Xenopus tropicalis: one gene and its partners. The protein of the gene in region 5 interacts with the protein of the main gene of each other region in a biochemical or structural test. Links are inferred from orthologs where the notes say so. Each region holds a gene or a part of one and is shown on either strand. Other genes may lie near its edges. The genes, in order: mta2, eef1g, chaf1a, ruvbl1, sumo2, exosc10 and ddx17.

Region 1 (3,500 bases), on a different chromosome or scaffold from region 5:
TTTAAGGTAAATTACTAGCAATCTTTATGTTAAAGGAAGAAAATACCTATGAAAATAAAGGAAATATGACAGAGTAAATCCCAATAAATACATTAGAATATATTGCTGGCAATTGCCTTTAATTGAACAGCCACTGTCATGTGAGCATGTGTAATATAAGCTCTGAAATAGAAAAGTCCCCCTTGCAAGAGAATCTGTAACAGTACTGGCCCTGGGAATTTACCGAGCTCCAATCATGTTCTGCAGCTTCTTCATTTCTATGATATTTATGACCCTGAGGATTGTTCAGAAGTAAAAAAAAGATCTTTCTTACACACACACAGGTAAAGAAGGAAGACCAGATGTCTCTTGTACAACTCCTCTGGCTCAATATGGTTCGCTCCTATGGGACAGCTATGGCTCACCCAGCAGCGGCAGAAAGCAGCCCATTTAGAGCTTGAAACCTTCACGTGCTAAATCCAGCAGTTTCATGTAAGGATACGTATCCACTTCAGCTTTTTATCACACACTCCATAAAAATTACCCAACACCATCAAATGTGCTCTGACCTGAACCTGCAGAACATTTTGTGTGCTTTATTCACTTATTAGATTTCCAGATAAAGGCCTTGTCAGCCTCTCTATCAAGTACGATGTTATGACTTCTGACCTTTTATTAAATCCACAAAAATGCCTGCAGTACAAAGCTCCATGTTCCCCTTCTACCTGAAAAGCCACCATCCACACAAAGCTGTGTATAACCTCTTTCCTCATTTTACTGATGGACAGCTCATTTTTTTTCTCGTACAAAAAAGCATAAACTAAACAAGAATTAAAAAAAAAAAACAAACAAAAAAAAACCCAGTATATAGGGGTCAGAAGAAGGGGTTGGAAGGGCTTATGAACAAACAGGGTAGTTACATGAAAAAATATATATTAAAAATAAAAAGGAGTTTGGGAGGAAAGTAAGTGAAAGGACTGTAGAGAAATAAGCCATAACCAGATACTGTTGCTGGAAAGCAGAACAAGGAGGAGCATGGGTTCTTTCTTTTTAATGTCCCTCTGTTCGTCAGCATAATTGCCTGGCTAGGTAATTGGTACCAGGGCTGTATTCTCTCACAACTGGGTAACTGTTTAAAAGGTCCCTCAGTCCTCCAGAACTATGGGCTCGCTTGTACTGGCAGGATGGGCTGGATTGAGTGGAGGCAGGATGTTTGTAGGCCGTGGCGGGAGTGGGACCTTTAACTTCACTGGTTGACTTGGACGACGAGCAGCTCTACGCATCTCCATGTGTGTGAGGTTTTTCCTGAGACTTCTGCGGAGGAAATAGAAACAGGTTCACATGATTAACAGAGAAGGACCAGTAACCCACACTAACAGTCACAGTATAGGCTGGAAGTTACCTTGTGTCTTTAGTAGCCACAAACACCACTGGATTGGGGGCATCGGCAAGGTTGAGCTTCTGTCTCTTGACACCGGGCTGAGAGCTAGAACGGACACCTGAAGAGAACGAGCGGCCATTTGAAGAGAATGGAGGAATGACACCCACACCAGACACCTGCTAAAGGAAAATCATACAAAGTAGTGCTTTTAGCCAATATTATACGTAGCAGTAAAATGCAGCAATACAATGATAATGTACTTACTGCATCAAATGCTCTTTTTGGAGGTAGCACACTCAGCCCTCTACTCTGCGATAGCTGGTTCCTATTTATTGGGGTCTTTGTCCCACGTGGGGTTTTCGGCTTAAGAGGAGCCTGGGCCGCTTGGGGTAAGAACAAACAACTTTACATTTTGCAGATTTAACTCCCCATTTCATACTTAGATTTTGGCCCCTACCCTTACACACACACCCAAAAACCTCAATATTTTGCAATAAGATTTAACATCCTTCCATTCAAGATTAAAGTGTCTGCGTATCTCCCTGTGTGAAGAAATCCCAACTTTAAGTCCCTTCAAGGAGTGGTTTACCTTCAGGTTAACTTTCCGTATGTTACAGAATAGTCTCTTCTTATAAACTTATCAATTGCATTGATTATATTTTTATTTATATAGTCATTAAATTATTTATTGTCTTCAGACTCTTTCCAGCTTTCAAATGTGGGTCACTGACCCCAGCAGCCAAAAACAACTATTGCTCAGTGAGGCTGCAATTTTATTCTCATTGTTAATTTTTATTACTTATTTTTCTGTTTAGGCTACCTCTTATTCCTGTCTCTTTCAAATTGCTGTCTGGTTGCTAGGTTAAATAGAACCCTAGTAACCAGAACCAGCTTCTAAAATGCCAAACTGGAGAGCTGCTGAACAACGCTAAATAATTAAAAAACTGCAAACATATGAATATCAATTGCAAATTCTTAGGGGCTGATTTACTAACCCACGAACGAGTCGAAATGAGTCCGATTGCGTTTTTTTCGCAAAGATCGGTATTTTGCGATTTTTTCGTATTTTTTGCGATTTTTTCGGCGTCTTTACGAATTTTTCGTTACCAATACGATTTTTGCGTTAAAAACGCGAGTTTTTCGTAGCCTTTACGAAAGTTGCGTAAAATCTTGTGATTTTTCCGTAGCGTTAAAACTTACGTGAAAAGTTGCGCCTTTTCCGTAGCGTTAAAACTTAAAAGGTGCGAAGTTTCGCGTAAGTTTTAACGCTACGAAAAAGGCGCAACTTTTTGCGCAAGTTTTAACGCTACGGAAAAATCACAAGATTTTACGCAACTTTCGTAAAGGCTACGAAAAACTCGCGTTTTTAACGCAAAAATCGTATTGGTAACGAAAAATTCGTAAAGACGCCGAAAAAAATCGCAAAACATACGAAAAAGTCGCAAAATGTTCGTTTTCAAGTCGGAACTTTTCCAAATCGGGTCGGATTCGTGGGTTAGTAAATCAGCCCCTTAGAGTCGCACTCTCTACCTCGGGGCCCCCAACCTTGCTTAATCTTGAGCCACAGTCAAATGTAAAAAGACTTGGGGAGAAACACAAACATCATAAAAGTTCATGGAGGTGCTAAATAAGCGTTAAGATTGGCTGTTAGTGTGTATAGAGGCTGCCTATCAGCTTACAGGAGGCTTTATTTGGTAGCAAAACGTGCCACCAAGTCAGGAATTCAAATATAAGCCCCTGCTTTGGGGGCACTGAGAGAAACACCCAAGGGGTTGGTGAGCTACACATTACTCACAAACCACTGGTTGGGATCACTACTCTACATCATACTAAAAGTTAATTAATAGGTGAACTACCTCTTTAATGTCAGTTTAAATTCTAATAAATAATATGTTTGAGACCCTACTGGTTGGTAACTAGTGGTGAGGGTTTTGTTTCTCACCTAGCTCCTTCACAATAGCTGCCAAGGAAGGGCGCACAAGGGGCAGTATTTTCAGAGGGGTCTTTGATGCTTTAGGAAGGCGAACAGAACCTGGAAAAGAAGGTGCACTGTGTTATTCATGGAAGAATAAGTATGATACAAGGACAAAAGCCACAAAGGCTTCTACAGAAAAAATGTAACACAAATGCATTGTGTACT
Region 2 (3,314 bases), on a different chromosome or scaffold from region 5:
AATGGTTTTAATTAGGGTTATATAAAATTATATAGCTGCCAGATGTACAAATGCACAAGCCTTGAAATATTTATGACTGAGTTCTATTTAAGGACTACTACTAGCAAGTATAGTACTGCTTACAGACCAGGGGCACTAGCGTCTTTATAACATTTTTACATCAAAGTGTTTGTTTAATCCCCTGAAAACTACCAGCCTTTGCCTAACTACATGCCATTACTTGTATCAGTGCTTTTCAAGGCAGCACCGTGTATGCATACATTTACCTCTTACCTGTAATTAAGTTGCAGCTCATGAAGGTTTGTGTCAGCTCCTCGGGGAATTTGTATTCAGCGTACCAGATGGACCAGCCTTCCTTGTCAAAGTGCTCCCAGAAATAAGGCAGAGCTACAGCCAGGGTATCTTCATTAGAGTATTTTCTCTTAAACTCATCCATTACAAAAGAGCTGCATGGGAAAATGAAGACTTGTAAGACGATAAAGGTCTATGACAGTGAAAGATTATAACTGGTCACTTAAGATTGGGATGTAGTGTTGTAGAGTCTGATGACAACAATTACATCAATTGCTCAATGATCTTACCTTTTAGGTAGATGTGCGTATGGGTCCTTTGATTTAGGCTCTGCTGCTAAAGCCTTTTCAGATTCATCCATATCATCCTCAGGGGCTGGGGCAGGAGCAGGAGCTGGTGTTGCCTTCTTCTTTTCCTCCTTTTCTTTTTTTGGCTCCTTTGCTGGCTTCTCTTTCTTGGGAGTTTCTTTCTTGGGCTGCATCTCGGCAAACTTCTTAGCTACAGAAAATTAAAAATAACACTCTCAGCCTGGCAGAAACACCACCATACAATGTGAAATAGTTTGAATTGCCATTTTGCTAAAAATTATTTTACATAGCAAATACAATAAGTTAACCTAACATCCCTATCAAAAGTAGACCACCACCTGTAAAAATGGCTTGTATATATTTAGCCCCGTTACAGACTGCGCTACATTTTGTTTATAAAAATGACATTCTGAAGATGATGCTTTATACAGAATACTGTTCATTCCAATCCTGGAAGTATTCATAAATACAAAGACCCTGGCCCTATATACAGCCCAGACAATTTGTTTATAGTTGAGCTCTAAATCAAATTAATCGGTTTTGCTGACCATAAGAGCTACTCAGTACAAGAATGATTTAGCGCAAAACAGACCAAACCTGCCTTGCAGGACCAGTAACACCAAAAAAATTATTTCTTAAAGTAATTCAAAAACACTGTTCTGCACAGGTAAAAGTTGTGTGTTTGTTTATATAAACTATACCAGTGTTTCAGAAACAAAGCTGCTGTGTAGGCACAGGGTAATAGGGTAATGGGATAGAAAAGAGAATTTTATAGGATGTTCAGGCTCACCATCAAACTGTGCCATCTTGTCACAAAGCTTGACTTCTCCCAACACAGCACGGAATTCTGGCTGATTCACACAGGTCACAAACCACCTTGTAACATTACCAAATGGCTGGCGGAAGGATGGTTCCAGGACCTATGGATAAATAGAAATTAATATATGGACACTAAAAAGAAGTGCTACAAAGGCTGACAGAAATGAGTGTGAAAATATGGGGATGTAGATACATGAAATGGGGTAAATGGCGAGGATTATTATACAGAAAGTTAGAATAGAAAAAAAATTAAAAAAAAAAAAACTTCAGTGTTTATGTATTCTGAGTGTGGGAAATCCAATAAATGATGAAGAACTGGTATACCAGAACAGGTATAATGGATCTTTATTATAAACAGTAATATAGTGAAGTATATGGCTAAAGGAGGCTACAAATTCACAACAGGAATACAGTTAGGAGGAATAAAAGACAAAGGAGAAACAGATAAAAATTAAAGTGTCAGACCTGCTTATAGAGCCACAGAAGAGAGCAAGTAACTGCTATATCAGCCAGCGTGACCCTCTCGCCCACTAGGAATGTCCGTGTCTTCAGATGAGAATCTAAAACACCCAGCACAGCCTTTATCTCCTCCTTGGCTTGTTCTGTGGCCTAGAAATATACAGAAAGAGCCATAATCCCAAATGGCCAGTTTTAAAAGGACAGAAATTGAGGTAAAATGGTCTATTATTTTCTTCAATCTTCAATTATTTTTGCTTCTGAGGCTTACTACCTTCTAACAAAAAAAACCCTATCCAAGAGGGTTGTTGAGATAACAAACAGTCGTGTACTAAAAAGTAGCCAGGAAGACTAGAATCCGCCATTATGCCAACCAGGGGGAATTAGTTAGGGTTGTGACACAGAGAGATTAGTCGCTGCACAGAAAACCTCCCCAAAATGCCATCCCACCGGCTAGAATGTAAATCGCCGGTGGGATGGCATAAGCATCAAGCGTGATTCGCAGAAGTCGCCTTGAGAGGAAACTCTGGCAACTTCCGCAAATCACACCGCCGCATATGCCATCCCACCGACGATTTACATTCTAGCCGGTGGGATGGCATTTTGGGGAGTTTTGTCACCCGTGACTTATCTACCCGTGTGTCACAGCCCTTAAGCAAGCTGCTATTTTCCAGCTAACTGCACAGATCACTTCACACCATTCAATAAACCGAAAGATACATATAACCATAACATTCACTAAATAAGGGTGGGGCAGAGATATACACACACTTTTTAAGGTAATCTTTCAATTTAAAACAGTTAAATCTTGTTAAACCCATATCGATCTTGGATCAGGCAGTTCATCCATCTCTGACAACTGCCTCGTGTTTACTTCATCTAAAGCTATGGCTGCGGCAAAAAGTAGGGTGACCCAATCACTTGAAAATTCAAGGACACATCTAGTACATGTCGCAGGAATTGTATTTCAAATCAGTTCAGCCCTGCTAGCTGGATTTATTTTTTCTCTTCATTACACGTCCCTGAATTTTCAAGCAATCTGGTCACCCTAAAGGGTCCTACTGACCCCAAACATTATGGGTGCTTGAAGTATTTGTAAAGCAAAGTATTTCATAATTCATCTCGACGCAGCACAAAGTAGAAAAGGAAAGGCCATTGTTAGATGAATAAATAATTTAGCAGATAAGCACGCAGCAGTGTGTAGTTAACCAAAGAAAATAAAGCAGAATAATGAACCCTTCTTACCTGCTTATTGTATTGCATGATCCCCAGAGTGGGAAAGACCCATGCGCTGGCCGGAGGGACAATGTGACTGTCTGAGAAGCTGACCCACTGGATGACCTGAGCTTGGTGTAAACGATTGGTTCCTCGGAGCTCATCATTGCCCACTGTCAGAGAAATATGTGAGAGGTGAGAATTAGGTTTCCTATTAACACCAAG
Region 3 (3,500 bases), on a different chromosome or scaffold from region 5:
AAATAGGTTTATTTACTTTTAGCTTGTTGGTCCTCTAGAATCATACAGTCATCATCCTCTTCTTCATTGTCTGCCTGAAAGCCATCCATATCTGTATTTACAGCCTGAATGATAAAAAAAACAAAAAACTGTTAAATGGCAGCTATATTGAACAAAGCTAGGGAGAAACGGTCTTATCATTAGCAAAAGCACACACAACTTTTTCATCAATCTTAACTTATCTTTGAACCCAAAGCAGTATAAACTCTCATTTGACTGGATCTAAGGCACTGGGCACGACTAATAAAATAAAGTCTTAATCTATAATGTATGACATGCAGAGAAATTTAAAAATATTGTATTGAACATAGTTTTTCAAATTACAATATTTGCCTGCATACATTTAAAATTGACTACGGCAATTTTTGCTTAAATGTATAAAACTTACAGTGGGGTTGTGCAAACCAAAATCAGAGACATGATGTCATGTAGTTATAATGCACTGCTGAGATTTTTTCCGATGCAATTTTTTCCAATGTTTGCTCACATTGAATAAGCAGATAAGGTTCATTATTGGCCCCATTCCCTTAAGAAGATTTTATTGGATTCATCCAAATACCAGTTACATCCCTATTTAACATCCACATAGCTGAGAAGTTCATTCAACATAATCACCAGACTACTTCAGAAGTCAATTAGTGGGGCACTAATTATAGCACAAGGGTAATATATACTCAAGGAAATTTTGAAATGGCAAAGATACATCATAACATGGCATTGTATTCTATCTGGTTATCTCACCATTTCAAGGTCCCTTGCTCGCTTCATAAACTTTGTGATAGGCATGCTGCCTGCAGACTTCCTCTTGTTAGACGAAGGCAGAGATTGCAATGGTCCTCCATTGGGACCATTATCTTCCTTGGCTACAGAGTTAACTTGAGTAATGTAAATCCACTGGCAGGGTACAGGAAGATTGTCTTGTTGTAGGACCTTTAAGACATCAGAATGCACATACCAACACATACGGTGGTCTGGGCGCTTTTCATACACTGAGTTTTCAGAGATTAAACGCTTTAAGTGAGCCTTAGAAGGGACTAGAACATTGTTTGGTGTTTGTGGTGTGGAGTTAGGGCTGGGGGACTCATTGTCTGTGGTAGTACTTGTGTTATCCTCCAATAATAAACCTCGGCGACAGCACTCCTGAAATTCTTGTATTATAATCTTACTTCCATTGACATTTCCATGAAGTAGAGGGACAAGTTTGGAAAGTACTAAAAATAAAAGAGTTTAAGTTAGCATTTGTAAGATAAAAACAATGAAAATTTTGAAATTACAGAATTAATTTTCCAAACAAAATTATACGGTCAGCCCATAGGGACATCTAAATGCGGTATAGATTATTAACAAATAAAACTATTTCGACTTCCCTGGTAGCTGTCAAAAAAAAGTTGTCTGACCTGCCACTGGCTGGTCCTAAACATCTACAAAGTGAAGGAAATACAGCTCGGACCAATGAAATTTGACCATCCATATTGCAAAATCATTATTAATTGTCCATCATACTTTGCCTGTCCTTGAGGTTCTGGGCAGAACTAATCTCTTGTGCAAGCTCTTCCTCAACTGCAGGTGACTCCAGAATACAGGCAGAAAATTTTTGCAGGAGTCTAATTTCTGAAGCATTACTGTCCCACCATACACATCCAATCACTACAGGCTGCAGTACACGGATCTTCTTGCTGTTTGATTGCAACTCATCCCACTCCTTAGCCTTCAGCTTCTGTCTAACTTTTTGGTTCTCTGGGTCTGTGCATTCCTAGATGGGCAGGATCAAAAGAAGCTCAGATTAGAACAACCCTCAGCTAATAAAAAAAAAAAGTTAAGTGTCACTGAGCTATACTGAATTATAGTTCTAATTATAATATTAGTGCACATAAGTCACATTAAAAAACATTGATATAATAACCACACATGGGTAGGAAAGAAAAATGTAAAAGCTTTTTATACTGATTACCAGATACTAAATTCCTGAAAAACGCAGGGCCATAACATTGGGGTTCTACTGTATTGGTATTTTAGATGCATACTTTAAAAGTTTTAGCAAAAAAAAAAAGACGACTACAGGGCAGGATATTTTTTAGGAAGATTTTTTTTTAACTAAGGATTATAGGTCACTATTTGCTACGGTCTTCAGAAAAAAAACACATGTATTCCTTGTTCTATACAAAGATTATACTGGTATTGATAGTGCTAGAGGCTAGTGCTATCATAATAGGATTATATAGGAAGAAGAATATATGAAGCTAACAGTGGGAAGAAGCTGGAGCAAACACAGAAACCCACACAAAAACCATGAAGCAAACATATAAAAACTCTACTAATATAGTGCTGTGGTAAAACCTGAACACCAAATTCTTAAGGCAAGAATGCAAATCATTGTTACACATAAGGCACCAAGTATGCTTAGGTACAGTGACCCACATCAACCAATATGATCAAGTTTATCCAGAGTCTACCTGACCCTACAGAGACTGTCCAAAATATAAACAGGGTGCACCTGACCAATAGGTCAAAATGATGTGGGCTAATTTTTCTACATGTTTTTTATGACTGTCCAGCTATATGTACTTTTTGGCATAAAATACGGTCATATATGGCACACACTTGCATTTCCCAATATATTGTCACCAAAAGTCGCCGGTGGGTTGGCATACACGGCAGCACGTTTTGCCAAAGTTGCCTTGAGAGGAAACTTTGGGCGACTTGGGCAAATCTACATTCCAGCCGGTGGGATGGCATTGCGGGGAGATTTGTCGCGGCGACTAATCTCCCCGTCTGTCACTGCCCTAATAGCAAATCTTAGCCCTTATTTGACACCTCCATGAACTTTTATAATGCTTGTGTTGCTCTCCAAGTCTTTTTACTCTGACTGTGGCTTATGAGTAAGAAAGGTTGGGGACCCCTTTACTAGAGGATGCCTGGAAAAATGTGACAATATTTAGGAACTCTGGCTGAAACAATAGGAACAGGGCAAGACACTGTATCTATGTGTTTGGTGCCTTTATGCTCTTTTCAACAACAACATGCAGAATAAGTTGTAGGTAAAACACAACACTGCTGTTGTGGAATTAGAAGAACTGAGAGACAGGGCAGGACTAAAGGTTGAGATTTGGATGTCAATCGTATATTTAATTTTAACAAACTAAAACGAACATTCAGATTGAACTTGTGAATACAGTCCTAAAAATAACAAGTCGGAGGATGTTCTGAACATGAAATAATTGGCAGACAACAATCATACGAAAGTGACATCCCAGAAATGCATTGTAGGTCACCCAGAAATATTATCAGATATGCAATATATGCACAGACTCCTTTTTTTCACTTTAGTCCTAAATTTTTACCTCATCAGATACCCCTTCATCATCAGATAAGTATCCATGGGGAACAAAGAAGCCATCATCATCTTCCTCGTCTTCTTCTTTGGGATCATCATCTTCATTCTCCTAGGCAAATGAAAAGGA
Region 4 (3,500 bases), on a different chromosome or scaffold from region 5:
GTTACTAGTCCACTGCCTGTCACAGTAAAAGAAAGCGGGCATCTAAATATTCGTCATGACCATACCCCTGATCTGCCCAACGACACCCTGTTACATCCAGAAAATACAAAGCACCCTTTGTGGTACATAAACTGGAATTTTGTATGTAGCGTCTCCAGTCCCCACCCTCCAAAATGGTGGCACTTTCTTGTGCACAGGCTCCTGCACTGTGATCACTGCCAGGGAACTTGGGCACAGAACATTGCCACCAACCCTGCTGCCATGCTTTGCGTTTCATGAAGGTGTTGAAAGCACTACCTCATCACACAGAGCAAAGGGTTTCTTGAACATAAGTCATAACCTTGAACATGTTTATACATATTTGTCTAATGGGAATATTAACAGGTGACTATTTCCTCTTGCTTTGCTATCTCTTGCTTCTGTGCAAGTGTCACATACTTTGCTAATTTATTTTGACTGTCGGGCCACACATTCCCTTCTACCTTCCATAGCTCTCCTCTTGTACCCTGTCCACCAAACCAACAAGTGACATTAGCTTTATTATTCTCATTAGTCAGTGTTGCACAGAGTGAAGTCCCCCTTTGCATAAGGATAAAGTCTTTGTTTCCATTACAAGTGATTTTTGGCTTTTAGAAGAAAATTGATGTTTTTTCTTCCCTCAGCGCCAGTTTTGTGGCATGGTTTTGATTCGATGTGCTTTTTGAGCGAGATACTGTATTTCAAACACAAGCAGTGAAGCAGTACTTAATTTGGAGTCTGTTCTGACAAGTTCCTGCTGAGAACATTTGGGATTTAGTGGGCTATATGGAGAGATGATCTGATAGCAACAGAAATTCTCAGTGAACCAGGAATTTGGATTGTTAGGGTGGGATGGTGGAGCCAAAATTATAAGGGTGCAGTATGGATCTTCCATAAGCACAGTCAGACCAGGCTTGTTTGTTGTGAATATTTAGTGATAAGTAAAGTTGTGTCCCTTTTGCACTTACAGTGTGACTGTCTGGGTCCTTAAGGTTGCCATACACATAGCAATTTCGATCTTTTGTTCGACCATCGTTCCCACCCTCCACTGAAGTTCAGGGCTGAATCGTCCGATATGGAGGTAGAAACAATAGAAATTCTACCTCCTGCCGATTCAGCCCTGAATGTAGATTTTGCTAAAAAATCTTTTAACCTGGCCGATCGATGAGTTGAGCGATATCCGCAGCCTTTTGTGATATCGGCCGCCTCGTTGAGCCGCCATACACGCACCTTATATTGTAAGAAGCGAGGTTTCCTACGATATCACCGGTTCATGTATGGCCGGCTTTAGTGCGTCCTGAACTGAGGTAAGTCACAGGAGTTCTTTCTAGGGTCATCATTAAGAACTAATCAAAATACACAGGGGGTACTAATTTGTTAGGCACCACAGTGAATATAATCCCTAAACTTGGATCCTGACCCCCTATGTTCAAGCATTTCCCAGGAATCCTTTGCTGCTGTCAAGGAATATTCTTATGCTCAGTATAGTAATATTGGTAGTCATGTGAGGAATGCTGACCTGGGTTCTAGGGTAGGAATTATGTTTCCTGCAGCGGGTCGGGTACCCACAGAACACCCGCATATATGTCAGGAATGGGGGGAGGCAAAATCCTAGATGTCTTGACTGTGCGGGTGGTCCACAGGTACACAGTGGAGGTAATTGGGGAGGTTTCAGGCAGCTTTAAAAACACAAAAAGACCTGAGTTTACCAGCAAACTTGCCAGTTTCTGACCTAACTTCTGGTTCTCAAGTCAGCCCCGCCACAAAATAATGACGTTACTTCCGTTTTGCCAAGAAGTTGTTTGCGGTTCGGGAAGGCACTTCTTCGAATTTGTTCGGGTATGGAAAGACATCATAGTCAATACAGGTGTGTGGGTCCAGGTCTAACTGAAGATACACCAAAATATACCAAAACAGACCCATGCAGGACTCTTCCCTGGAGGATGGGATGGCTAAAGTTAAAGTGTTGCTGCTTAAGTTATTTTCTAATGGGCAGACTAACTGTAATAAATAGATAAATGGGCCTGCTGGATATACATTGTGCCCATTTGGGCCATTCAGTTTTCTTTGGATCAGCTGGTCCTTTAGGGCAGTGACATACCGGCCAGTCGTGTTTTTAGGTGTACATGCATGTCTATGGTGCAGGCAGGAGTGACTGCTGGAGACTTCACATTCACTTTCAGGCTTGCAGCCATTATTCACAACAGTACCCCAATTGTTGGATTGGATTGTACCTCTTCATGGTGGGCAGAGGTGCCTGACCTGGGCTATGTGACTGCACTACTACAATCTGTCAGAGCTGTTTAATATGTTTCTCTTAAATTACAGGCATGTGGGGTAATAGTGGAGCTAATTAAAAGCAAGAAAATGGCTGGGAGAGCGGTGCTGCTGGCGGGACCTCCTGGAACTGGCAAGGTACCTTATTTTTCTGCATGTTTCTTTCACCTGGATCCTATTTAACCATGGAAAATGCAAAGCATCAGGGTGTATATGTCTCCTATGCCAAACTATGTTTTGACTGCTGGCATTGCCCCCTTGTGTTGAAATGTTCATAGTTCCACTTTAAACCTGTGAATCACATACATAAACATTATACAAGGATAAGCTTGTTATACAGTGGGATTATGCATAATACATTACTGCAGCCTTTTAAAAAAAAAAATAATAATTTATATTGGAAACAGTAAAAGAAAAAAAATCTTTCATTAGATCAACAGTAATACCAGAGATTTCATTTGTAGAGCCTTTAACCTTGTGAATCAGAAAAGAAGATGGGGAACTACTGGGGGCATTTCTAGAGGCAAAAGGGCTATAGTCTCCTCCAGCTGGTGCTATAAGGGCAGTCTCGCGTGCACCGCCCTTTTGCACCTTTGGTCAGGCCCACGTGGCTTCCTTACTCTGCTCTCTTTCATTTTTATATTCCTTGTCTCCTTACAGACTGCTTTGGCTTTAGCCATTGCCCAGGAACTAGGCAATAAAGTTCCATTTTGCCCCATGGTTGGCAGTGAAGTTTATTCCACAGAGATCAAGAAAACGGAGGTCCTGATGGAGAATTTCCGGAGAGCCATCGGTAAGTGGTTGGTGGGCAGCTTGCTATGTCTGACTTTAAATGGTAAAATATACACAAGGTGTTGGAATTTTCCATTCTTAAGCATCTTAATGAAAGAGCTGAACTTTTGAAGCCAAAAACTCAAAGTAAATGCTAATCAGCCATTTCACATGTAATATAGGAGGTTACAAAGAGCATAAATAGAACATTTTTATAAAGCAAATGTGTCATTCTTCCTGCATAATATTTACCATAGTAAAAAAAATCTATTCTACCCTGCCCCAATAATTGCCCTATCCTGCACACCATTTATTATTTTGAATGCTTTATTAGAAAATACCTGCTAAAACTTGGCTTCCGGTCATTTTAAATAGGGCGATACGGCAATGCAGGGGAAGAACCCACTATGCGATGATCGACTGATCGATCCTAG
Region 5 (4,020 bases):
GGTCTTAACACCTTCCTAAAAGAAGTAAAAAGTGGAATGAGTGCTGGGAAGGGGCATCATGGCACAGAAACACTGGTAACGCTTGTGGTTATTCATCCCGTTGTGAGAAATGAGCTCTTTGCACCCCATTCTAGAGAATACTTTGGCACCAAATGACAAAAGAACTCTAGTTATATTAGATCTGGCCGGGGACCATGCTACATTTGGTAATGTGTTCACAACGCACAAGAAGAAAGATGGGGAGCACAGAAGTTATAAGGCTGCATGTCATTACACAAAATACACCAAATGTTCCCTTTAGAACAACAGTCACTGCTGGGAGCTACAGTTCTGGAATGTTTACTGACTGCACAGGCATTTAACTTACAACTACACTCACAAAAGCTGGTCTAGCCCCTAACCTCATCGTATATATTAGCCTTACAGTACGCTTGCCTGTGTCTCTAGGTCCCCAATTAACAGGTCCCAGTGATTAAGAGAGCAATATCACATTGAGGGCCAGTATGCAGAATAACATGGTACTGCTTCACAGTGTCACAGACCCTGAATCTAAAGACTTAATACAAGTTTAAAAGTTCTCAGAACTTTCTTTCCACTGTGCCTAATGCACCTTACCCTTCCTGCTTCTAACACGTGTTCCTCCATTACCTACACTACTTCCTCAATTCTAAAATTCCTTCCATACTAAGAATTCTCCTTCCTTAGGTCGAAGACACACAGTAGTAGCAGCTACTTGTCACAGCTACTAAAATATTCAATGCCAATCAGTTACTGATAATTCTCTGTTTTCGCAACGCTCCATACTGTCTAAGGCAGGGGATTTTCTGGTGTTTTGTAGCTGTAAAAAATTAGTTGCTGCTAGTAGCTCAGTGTGTCTTCACCCTTATGCCCCTTACTCTGCATGGAATGCCCCCAACATAACCTAGGCTTCTGGCCAGTATTAACTCTATTTAATGGCACTGAGCCCTGCATACCCATTTTCCCACCATTAAGCTCTCCCATAATACTTGCCCTTCTCACTGGCCAGAGGCTACATCTTTTCCCACTCAACATTCTTGAATTCCTCTCTCCCCAAGTTACCTCATTCCCTAAAGTCAATGCCCCCAACATACCTGGGCTCAGGGCCCCCTAAGCTCCCAATTCCCAGCCCCAGTATATGCCCCCAACATACCTGGGCTCAGGGCCCCCTAAGCTCCCAATTCCCAGCCCCAGTATATGCCCCCAACATACCTGGGCTCAGGGCCCCCTAAGCTCCCAATTCACAGCCCCAGTATATGCCCCCAACATACCTGGGCTCAGGGCCCCCTAAGCTCCCAATTCACAGCCCCAGTATATGCCCCCAACATACCTGGGCTCAGGGCCCCCTAAGCTCCCAATTCCCAGTATATGCCCCCAACATACCTGGGCTCAGGGCCCCCTAAGCTCCCAATTCCCAGTATATGCCCCCAACATACCTGGGCTCAGGGCCCCCTAAGCTCCCAATTCCCAGTATATGCCCCCAACATACCTGGGCTCAGGGCCCCCTAAGCTCCCAATTCACAGCCCCAGTATATGCCCCCAACATACCTGGGCTCAGGGCCCCCTAAGCTCCCAATTCCCAGTATATGCCCCCAACATACCTGGGCTCAGGGCCCTCTAAGCTGCCAATTCCCAGCCCCAGTATATTCCCCCCCAACATACCTGGGCTCAGGGCCCCCTAACCTCCCTATTCCCAGCCCCAGTATATGTCCCCAACATACCTAGGCTCAGAGCCCCCTAAACTGCCAATTCCCAGGCCCAGTATATTCCCCCCCCAACATACCTGGGCTCAGGGCCCCCTAACCTCCCAATTCCCAGCCCCAGTATATTCCCCCACAACATACCTGGGCTCAGGCCCCCCTAATATCCCTATTCCCAGTATAGCCAAGGTCGCCCATTCCCATTTACTTCCCATCTCCCAATACTGGCAGTGCCCAACATACCCTTCCCCAGTGCTCCCTGGTTCCTGTCCTCCCTTCCCCAGTGCTCCCTGGCTCCTGTGCTCCCTTCCCCAGTGCTCCCTGGTTCCTGTGCTCCCTGGTTCCTGTGCTCCCTTCCCCAGTGCTCCCTTCCCCAGTGCTCCCTTCCCCAGTGCTCCCTTCCCCAGTGCTCCCTTCCCCAGTGCTCCCTTCCCCAGTGCTCCCTTCCCCAGTGCTCCCTTCCCCAGTGCTCCCTTCCCCAGTGCTCCCTTCCCCAGTGCTCCCTTCCCCTGTGCTCCCTTCCCCTGTGCTCCCTTCCCCTGTGCTCCCTTCCCCTGTGCTCCCTTCCCCTGTGCTCCCTTCCCCTGTGCTCCCTTCCCCTGTGCTCCCTTCCCCTGTGCTCCCTTCCCCAGTGCTCCCTTCCCCAGTGCTCCCTGGTTCCTGTGCTCCCTTCCCCAGTGCTCCCTTCCCCTGTGCTCCCTTCCCCAGTGCTCCCTTCCCCTGTGCTCCCTTCCCCAGTGCTCCCTTCCCCAGTGCTCCCTTCCCCAGTGCTCCCTTCCCCAGTGCTCCCTGGTTCCTGTGCTCCCTTCCCCATAAACCTAGTGGGCCAATGCAGTGCAGCCTCCCATAACCAAGCCCCGCTAGTATGGGCGTCCCTCTCCCGGCTGTCTCCCTACGGGCCCCTCCCGTACCCACAGAGCCCCCGCACAGCCCGCAGGCCGCTGCCCCCTCCCTTTAGCGCCTAGGCCTCTCCCTCCTCCTGCCCCGCACCCACTGCCCCCGGCCCCAAGCCCGCTATGCGACCCTTCCCTCTCCCAGCCCGGAGCAGGACCTTGGGCTTATCGTCCGCCATTGTCAGTTCGCTCCCGGTGCCCGGTACTCTCGCTGCTGCCTCCTCCTCACAAAGAGCCTGAACTGGCGCGGGACGTGGAACGAGAGCGCGCACGTACGGAAAGGAAGATTTGGCGCACTCTCTGCGTGCGCGCCCCCGCCGCTATTTCCACTGTAGGGAAAAGCCCGCCTTGGGGAGCACGTGGCGGCGGGGGCGCGCATGGGGGGAGGGGTCTGACTCTGAGGAGAGTCAGGGTGAGGTTGGGCCGCATTGTACCCGGGATTGGCTAAATCCCTTCCAGTGACTTCATTGGCCTAGTCTCATAGAGGGGGCAGGAGCCATGATAGAAGCTTCCAGAAACAGCCCCCCCTATAATTAAGCCAAAGGAGGAAGCCATACCAGTTGCCATACCAGTTACCTTTTCACTAAAACTTTATTTTGATCAGTCCTGCACTTAAGGGCAAATGCCCATACCTGGTGCCTCTTACCTTCCAGTTTGTGCCTGTATGTTACCCAACCACTTAGATTGTAAGCTCTACGGGGCAGGGACCTCCTTCCTACTGTGTCTCATACCCCATGGCACTTACTCCCTGTGTATTTATACTTATTTATTGAAATTTATTATAACACTTGCCCTACCTGTGGGTAATTGTGTATATTGTAAGATTGTACAGTGCTGCGTATCCTTGTGGCGCTTTATAAATAAAGTTATACATACCAAAAACATAGAGAAGCTAACCATATCCAAAGCTACCAGACAAAACATAAAAATCATATCCAAACCATATCCAAAGTTACCAGACAAAACATAAAAATCATATCCAAACCATATCCAAAGTTACCAGACAAAACATAAAAATCATATCCAAACCATATCCAAAGTTACCAGACAAAACATAAAAATCATATCCAAACCATATCCAAAGTTTCCAGACAAAACATAAAAATCATGGAAGGTGGCTGCCCTTTTAGGGACATAAAATACAGCCATTTCCCAGGGTGGGACTGGACGAGCGGAACGATAGGAGAAAAACCGTCTGTTGAGGTGGTGGACCCCACACACCTCATTCCAACACTGGGATTTACTGTCTTTCTTCCCTATTTACTGTTAATAACACTGACAGCCTTCTGCTCCTCATAGTTACCCCCCCAAAAATGAAAAGGCCTAAAACCCACCCAAAATTGCCTAGGGTACAAGCAGTGCATATTGGGACATGGTTATAAGGGCATTTATTTTCTTTCATTTGGAGT
Region 6 (3,500 bases), on a different chromosome or scaffold from region 5:
ACAAGGTTTATTTTGCGGTTATATAACCTGTGCCTTTTGTCCTTTTGAATGGCTGCCCCCATGGTTACACATCACGGTTTTTACATAAATTGTAGTAGTGTTTCTGAAGCAAACACACAATTTCTACCAGTGCAGGGCAGCAGTACATTATGGTTTAATTTCTTTAATATATTTTGATGTTTTGCTGTTCCTTTAAGCCAATACTGATTAGGCTATAGAGAGCAGCATAATGTGACGTTTTGCCTTTTTATCATTACGAGAGTTGTTACAGGAGGAAGGAAAGATGATCTCCGTTTTAACGTGAAAAGAGGACACCACTTTGGGGAGAAATCCCGGCACTGCCAAAGGACTGCTCTGCCTTCCTGAAATATCAGAAAGGGCGATGAACTTGATAGGGTTCAAACGGTGGTTCCAGGTGGGGGACAGGTTACCAATAAGGTGGAGCAACTCTAGAGACCCCTTGTAAGAAGGTGCAGATGTCTTCTTATAGGGCTAGCCACTCCTGAAAGAAGATAGAAAGAGCAGACACTTGGGATTTTAGGGATACTAGGTATAGTCCCTTCATTAATCCTGACTGAAGTAATTCCAGGACTCTAGTGATCTTATATTCTCTAAAGTTGAAGTCCTGTTGCGGGCACCAGATCTGGTAAAAGGACAAGGTCCTGTGGTAAATTCTGAAAGTGGTTTCTTACTTGCTTTTATCCTGGTCTGGATCACTTCTTCCGAGTGACCTTTGTCCCTCAAGATTGCAGCCTCAAGAGCCATCCCATTAAGGCGAAGAGGTGCAGGTTCTGATGACATATTGGACCCTGACAAAGGAGGTCAATCTCGTGGAGGTAAGGCCATCGGAGCTTCTAGAGAGAGAGCTAGAAGATCTGAGTACCATGACCTCCTGGGCCAACGAGTGGGGACTACAATGACTGTAGCCACTTCCCTGCGGATCATTTTGAGAACTCGAGCGAGCAATGGGAGAGGAGTAAAAACATATGTCAGATGAAAGTGCCTTGTCTGTAGGTTCAGTCACCATTCCAAGGACCTCCTGGTTCCCTTTTTTAGAGACATCTGTTGATGCAGGGAGGTCCTGGGTCATTGCCTAAGGATCGTGGCTTGGAGGGGACAAAGGTGAAATTAAGCAAATGGCACTGCCTCGGTGGATGATACCATTAGTCCCAGGATTCTCATGCAGGCTTGTACTGTTGGTTTCTGCATTGTCTTGAGATATTTGATGGATGTGAGTAATCTGAGCTGTTTCTCCTCAGGGAAGAAGTCCTGTAAACTCTGGATTGTTAACTGAAGATGCTGTTTGGCCCTCTCTTTGAAGAAAGCCTTGATAATAGACACACCTTGGACACAGAGGAGGCAGTACTAGAACAATCACCTCGGCCTCTGCTAACAAGCAAACAATTGTCAAGAAGGCCTCTCTTTTGTTGGGCTGCGAGGGAAGTTTGGATATGAAAAATTAAGTGTGGGAGGGTCTCGGAACTCGAGTCGGTACTCTAAAGAGTACCCAGTGATCTGAAGTGTGCAGAGCCCATGCCTTTGCAAAGAACCAAAGTCTGCCCCCTAGTGTCTGTGGAGCTGATTGTTCCAGAAAGGATTTTTGAGGGAAGTGTCCGCACTTCCAAAATCTCGCTTGTGTTTAGCTGAGGAAGTTGTGGTATCACTTAGGGGCACATTTACTAATCCACGAACATCCGAAAAGGGTCCGAATGCGTTTTTTTCGTAATGATCGGTACTTTGTGACTTTTTCACGAATTGTCGCGACTTTTTCGAGCTCTCAATACGAAAGTTGCGACAATTTGCGAAAGTCGTAATGGCTATTAAAAAGTCGCGACAATTCCCGAAAGTCATAATGGCAATAAAAAAGTTGCGACAATTCCCGAAAGTCATAATGGCAATGAAAAAGTCGCGACAATTCACAAAAGTCATAATGGCAATGAAAAATTTGCGACAATTCACGAAATTTTTATTGGCTATGAAAAAGTCGCGACAATTCGCGCAAGTCGAAACGGTTACGAAAAAGTTGCAAAAAATACGAAAAAGTCGCAAAATGTTCATTTTACAATCCGAATTTTTCTCATTCGGATTCGTGGATTAGTAAATTAGCCCCTTAGTCTCACCAAAATGTTATCAATAGAAGAGGCTAGTTGAGGTATACATTGGAGTCCCGACAGTGATGGCAGGGGCCCTTTACCCACTGTCCCTTGTTCCCACTCAATGTGAAAGAAAGGGAGAAAATGCACAAGTTAAACATCAGATAATCAATAAGCGCTGTATAGTTCAACAGGAATCTATGTAGCTTATCTGTTATCTGCTATGTAACCTATGCCTTTTCTCCATTTTTCAATTTGAATGCTTACCCACATGGATATACAGCAGCTTTGTTTATATAAACTATAGTAGTATTTCTGAAGCAAACACACAGCTTTTACCTGTGCAGGGCAAAAGTACATAATACATTTATTACTTTGATACACTTTCATTTTTGTTCACTTTCATTTCATTTCCACAAGGGTCAAAGCAATACATCCTATAAAAAAAAAAAAACTTACCACTTTCTCCAAAATGACATCATTGGCATCAACAAGCAAATCAAATTTATCTTCCAGCAACGTGACTCTGCTTCGATCCCGGATATGACTACGAAGGCCATGATACTGCATAACTTGGCTCATACTATCACAGAACGAAACATAAAATGATAAAAAGAATGAGCAAATGGCTTCAACTAAAGGAATAAGATGTTTTAAATAAGAAATATATCTTACAAGTAAATACATGAAGTCAAAATACTAATTTGGGCATCTCTACATCCATATGTCATTGAATGGATTTTAAAACCAAACATGTAATAGGAAGTTGCTAAACCGTTTGCAGTAAACCACAACTCCACCTTATATTATGATCCTTCAGATAAATTTATTAAAAAAAAAAAAAAGGGGGTATATTTTCCATTGTAACATTTATGTTAATAAAATTACGAGTTACCTGTGTGCAGTTCTACAGTTGAATTACTGGCATAAAAACTGCCTTAAAGGGCACTTTTTTTTTTTTCTTTTAAAGGAATAGTAACACAAAAAAAAATAAAAAATAAGAGTTTTAAAGTAATTAAAATATAACGTACTGTTGCCCTGCACTGGTAAAACTGGTGTGTTGGCTACAGAAACGCTATTATAGTTTATATAAAGAAGCTGCTGTGTAGCCATAGGGGCAGCCATTCCAGCTGGAAAAAAGGAGAAAAGGCACAGGTTAAAAACCAGATAACAGATAAGCTCTGTAGAATATAATGGGTCTTTATATGTTATCTGCTGAGTAACCTGTGCCCTTTCTCCTTATAATGGCTGCCCCCATGGCTACACAGCAGCTTAGTTTATATAAACTACAGTAGTCTTTCTGAGGCAAACACACCAGTTATACCAGTGCATTATACCATAATTACTTTTATACACTTTCATATTTTGGTGTTACTGTTCCTTTAAAGCCCTTTTCTCCCCCACACT
Region 7 (3,500 bases), on a different chromosome or scaffold from region 5:
AAAAGACTTCCCAACAGTTGCCCAGCAGATGGCATAGTGGGAAGCATCTGTGTGATCTCCCTTCTAGAAAGGTGGTCCTTCTATTCAATAAGGCTGGGCAAGAACATGACACTGAATCAGCAGGCAAATGGGACGTAGAAGTAGCCCAATATCAGTACTCAGGGTGGAATGCCTGCATTGTGCACCACCATGTTGAGTGAGTAACTTAGGGGGCTCGGAGTTGCAGACCCAAAAATTGCCTCTTCAGTACAAGACCTTTGCGAGGGAGGAGTGTAAGAAGCCAGTGCCCTTTAGGGGGGCAGCTTCCAGCGTTCATCCCCCTGTATTTTCGACGGGCCCCTGGCCCTGTACTGAGAGAGATCTGCAGCTTCTGTCAAAAACAAAACAAAAAAAATAAGTTTTAATATCAAATTTTAAATTAAAAATATGAAATTAAATTGCCTACAGTGTAGAAGACTCATGCTCAACTGGAACTTACCTGGCTGCTACCTAACAGCTATAGAACAGGTAGCCATGCAATTTCTTAAGAGCAACAAATAGCCAAAAGACATTTTCAGAGCACTAAAAATAGTAACTACATCCAGAAGATACTGTGCCTAGAAAAGACCATTCCCTACAAGTGAACCACCTTTCCATTGGGGAGAAGGAGACCAGTAAATTTGTGGCAAGTTTTAATGGCAAACTAAAGCCAAACAGTTCCACATCCTCCCACCACAAAAAAACACAGATGGAGGAACTGAGTAACAAGAAACAGACTGTGGTACTCTTCCTGCCTTGAGAAATGCATGGTTTGCATCAGTGGATTGGGGCACAAATTAAAGGATACATATAAGCACAACTTAATACTTAGTTTTAAGCACATTCAAGATTTAAAAAAAATACTAGGAAAAAAAGCTATAACTAATAAAATGAATAAGTTACATACCAAAATGCACAATAACTTCATTTCATTAAAATAAGAAATTCACCACACACCACGGTATGTGTGGGAGGCCTGGCTATCAAAATGGGGAGCAGAAAATCCATGTACACTTTTAGTAGAAGGTACAAATCAAACCTGACTGGATGGATTTGTGAAATAAAAGGTAAATAGACTTCACATATGCTTAGCCAAAGTTCCAAAGATGTCAAAATACATCTAAGGTTTATAACGATAATAAACTTGTATTTCACATATCCGTGCTGTGACAGGTCCAGTATGTGCTTCCTATAAAAATGACATGAATATAATATGTAGTGTGTATATTTTACGTAAAAATGGGATGCAGTTTGCATGCAGTGTGTATTATATGAAGATATTCTAATAACAGCAAGCTAGAAAATACTGCTTAAATATATTAAAGCTTGAACTATAATGTACTGCATAAAGGAAAGCGCAGGGTGGCAGGAGAGTGGAGGGAGGAAAATAAAGAAAACCTCCAAAAATACAAACCTAGACCCCGGGAAGCAACATCTGTTGCAATAAGGATAGGTGCTTTCCCAGTACGGAACTCTGCAAAGAAAATTTTAAGCGATCAGTTCCTGAGCACAACATATATCAGTAACATACTTCTACTTTCCACTTTGAGAGGCACATTTTCACATATCACCATTCTAATATCAAATTTTTATATTTATGGCTAGCTACGATCATGTATAGTCAGGTCCCATTTACTCTTGATCCCAACTAAGATAATTTATTCTTAATATATTCTACCAAAAAAAAATGAGCATTATATTCATGCATCAGCTTAGTTAACACATGGCAGCAGGCAAGCCAAGAATAAATGCAGAACAATAGACTCAAGAACACTAACACAATGCAATGGGGGCTATCTGTGCTGGTAAACTTATTAAAAGGGATACTGTCAATTTTTATGGTGTACTTTTTATTTCTAAATTACACTGTTTACATAGCAAATAATTCACTCTACCATTTAAAATGTTATTCTTGAACCAACAAATATATTTTTTTAGCTGTAATATTGGTGTGTAGGTGCCATCTCAGTGCATTGTGCCTGAGTCTGAGCTTTCAGAAGGAGCCAGCGCTACACATTAGAACTGCTTTCAGCTAAGCTATTGTTTCTCCTACTGCCATGTAACTGGAGGAGTCCCAAGCCGGACTTGAATTTCTTACTACTGAATGCTACTCTGATATCTACTGGGAGCTGCTATCTTGCTCCCTTCCCACCGTTCTGCTGATCAGCTGCTGGGGAGGGAAAAAGAGGGGGATGGTATCATTCCAACTTGCAGCTCAGCAGTAAAGTTTGACTTAAGTTTATCAGAGCACAGGTCACATGGCTGTGGGACTCTGGGAAATGAAGAACACAGCTAAACCCCATGTGAAATTTCAAAATTAAATATAAAAAAAAAAAAAAAAAGATTTCCATCTAGGATTCTGATGACATGTAAATTATATGCTGAATATAATTCTTATCATACAAAATTAAATTTCTTTGTCTGGCCTATAAGTAATTTAAAAGTAGAATCTCACCACATAGAACCCAGTCACGTTCTTGTTGGCTTTTGTCACCATGGATACACATTGCAGGCCACCTTGGGAAAATATAAATTTAGCATAAAGATAACCAGAGCAGGGGAGGGAAAAAAAAAAAAACTAATGAAAATTAAACTTTTTCCTTACCCATCACGCCTCATTCTGCGGGTTAAGTCATCACAGCGGCGCTTTGTTTCCACAAAGATGATGGTTTTATTCTCTTTTTCGGCCATTATTTCTTCCATCAACTGGATAAGCCTACACGCAACATAAAATCTGTTAAGTGCCAGTAATATCCAGAAATAAACACTAAACGCATAACGACAATGTTAATTTACCATCATTAAAATTATGCTTTTTTTAATTTAAATACTTATTTCATATAGTTTATTTTTGCTGAGGTTCAGGGGTGTTTAAACACAAAGGCTCTACTGGATAGGTAGGCCTTTGTTAAAGGAATAGTAACACCAAAAAAAAAAAAAGTGCATGTTTTAAAGTAATTAAATGAGAACGATCACAAAAATAACAATTTAATATAAAATACTGAAATAAGAAACTTTATAAAATAATCAATTAAAAATACTGAAATAATCAAGTTTATTTTTACTATCCCTCTCTCAGCATCTATTTTGCTTCGTTCTCTCTTCATGCAGGAGTAGGGTGTCAGATTTTGACTGACAATTTCAATAAATCTTAATATTTGATCTAACTGTGATTCAAAATCAGACTCCCAACTACCGCATGAAGAGGGAGGATAGACAAATGCCGAGAAGAGGGGTATAGAGAAGTGTATGACTAATAGCTTGACAGGTTTTTTTATTGTTATTTATTGGGCTCCAATCAAAACAGGATGCAGGAGCCCAATGCTACAAAGCATTAATAGTATTTTAAAGGGCAACTGTATGACTGAGTTGTAAGTAAGATGATGAATAATAAAAAAAAAAACTGTCAACCTGTCAAAAAGAATCTATTTGTAAGAATTACTACTCATTCACTACAGTTCAGCTCATATTTATACCCACAA

Evidence for each region.
Region 1: the proteins of sumo2 (region 5) and mta2 form a complex in vitro, tested with the Homo sapiens proteins (2 studies listed by BioGRID). The link is inferred for Xenopus tropicalis from reciprocal best matches to the Homo sapiens genes SUMO2 and MTA2.
Region 2: the proteins of sumo2 (region 5) and eef1g form a complex in vitro, tested with the Homo sapiens proteins (2 studies listed by BioGRID). The link is inferred for Xenopus tropicalis from reciprocal best matches to the Homo sapiens genes SUMO2 and EEF1G.
Region 3: the proteins of sumo2 (region 5) and chaf1a form a complex in vitro, tested with the Homo sapiens proteins (2 studies listed by BioGRID). The link is inferred for Xenopus tropicalis from reciprocal best matches to the Homo sapiens genes SUMO2 and CHAF1A.
Region 4: the proteins of sumo2 (region 5) and ruvbl1 form a complex in vitro, tested with the Homo sapiens proteins (2 studies listed by BioGRID). The link is inferred for Xenopus tropicalis from reciprocal best matches to the Homo sapiens genes SUMO2 and RUVBL1.
Region 6: the proteins of sumo2 (region 5) and exosc10 form a complex in vitro, tested with the Homo sapiens proteins (2 studies listed by BioGRID). The link is inferred for Xenopus tropicalis from reciprocal best matches to the Homo sapiens genes SUMO2 and EXOSC10.
Region 7: the proteins of sumo2 (region 5) and ddx17 form a complex in vitro, tested with the Homo sapiens proteins (2 studies listed by BioGRID). The link is inferred for Xenopus tropicalis from reciprocal best matches to the Homo sapiens genes SUMO2 and DDX17.

The regions. Positions count from the first base shown.
Region 1 is NC_030680.2:36,834,445-36,837,944, forward strand, and holds the end of mta2 (metastasis-associated protein MTA2), read right to left. Parts: intron 3,393-3,500; coding exon 3,303-3,392; intron 1,744-3,302; coding exon 1,625-1,743; intron 1,540-1,624; coding exon 1,382-1,539; intron 1,294-1,381; coding exon 1,125-1,293; 3' UTR 328-1,124; coding exon of another isoform or gene 324-327; 3' UTR 103-323; downstream 1-102. Other genes in the region: putative nuclease HARBI1, read left to right, coding at 324-327. UniProt on the Homo sapiens protein: May function as a transcriptional coregulator. Acts as a component of the histone deacetylase NuRD complex which participates in the remodeling of chromatin.
Region 2 is NC_030680.2:36,802,782-36,806,095, forward strand, and holds part of eef1g (elongation factor 1-gamma), read right to left. Parts: intron 3,263-3,314; coding exon of another isoform or gene 3,138-3,262; coding exon 3,120-3,137; intron 2,028-3,119; coding exon 1,884-2,027; intron 1,520-1,883; coding exon 1,390-1,519; intron 790-1,389; coding exon 582-789; intron 447-581; coding exon 274-446; intron 1-273. UniProt on the Homo sapiens protein: Probably plays a role in anchoring the complex to other cellular components.
Region 3 is NC_030677.2:93,798,171-93,801,670, forward strand, and holds part of chaf1a (chromatin assembly factor 1 subunit A), read right to left. Parts: exon of another isoform or gene 3,483-3,500; coding exon 3,381-3,482; intron 1,793-3,380; coding exon 1,543-1,792; intron 1,251-1,542; coding exon 781-1,250; intron 105-780; coding exon 17-104; intron 1-16. UniProt on the Homo sapiens protein: Acts as a component of the histone chaperone complex chromatin assembly factor 1 (CAF-1), which assembles histone octamers onto DNA during replication and repair.
Region 4 is NC_030680.2:134,985,309-134,988,808, reverse strand, and holds part of ruvbl1 (ruvB-like 1), read left to right. Parts: intron 1-2,346; coding exon 2,347-2,433; intron 2,434-2,955; coding exon 2,956-3,088; intron 3,089-3,500. UniProt on the Homo sapiens protein: Possesses single-stranded DNA-stimulated ATPase and ATP-dependent DNA helicase (3' to 5') activity; hexamerization is thought to be critical for ATP hydrolysis and adjacent subunits in the ring-like structure contribute to the ATPase activity.
Region 5 is NC_030686.2:44,411,181-44,415,200, reverse strand, and holds the start of sumo2 (small ubiquitin-related modifier 2 precursor), read right to left. Parts: upstream 2,801-4,020; 5' UTR 2,791-2,800; coding exon 2,770-2,790; intron 2,060-2,769; exon of another isoform or gene 1,823-2,059; intron 1,476-1,822; exon of another isoform or gene 618-1,475; intron 16-617; coding exon 1-15. UniProt on the Homo sapiens protein: Ubiquitin-like protein that can be covalently attached to proteins as a monomer or as a lysine-linked polymer.
Region 6 is NC_030683.2:64,893,176-64,896,675, forward strand, and holds part of exosc10 (exosome component 10), read right to left. Parts: intron 2,677-3,500; coding exon 2,553-2,676; intron 1-2,552. UniProt on the Homo sapiens protein: Catalytic component of the RNA exosome complex which has 3'->5' exoribonuclease activity and participates in a multitude of cellular RNA processing and degradation events.
Region 7 is NC_030680.2:120,518,457-120,521,956, reverse strand, and holds part of ddx17 (probable ATP-dependent RNA helicase DDX17), read right to left. Parts: intron 2,735-3,500; coding exon 2,624-2,734; intron 2,536-2,623; coding exon 2,474-2,535; intron 1,493-2,473; coding exon 1,433-1,492; intron 1-1,432. UniProt on the Homo sapiens protein: As an RNA helicase, unwinds RNA and alters RNA structures through ATP binding and hydrolysis.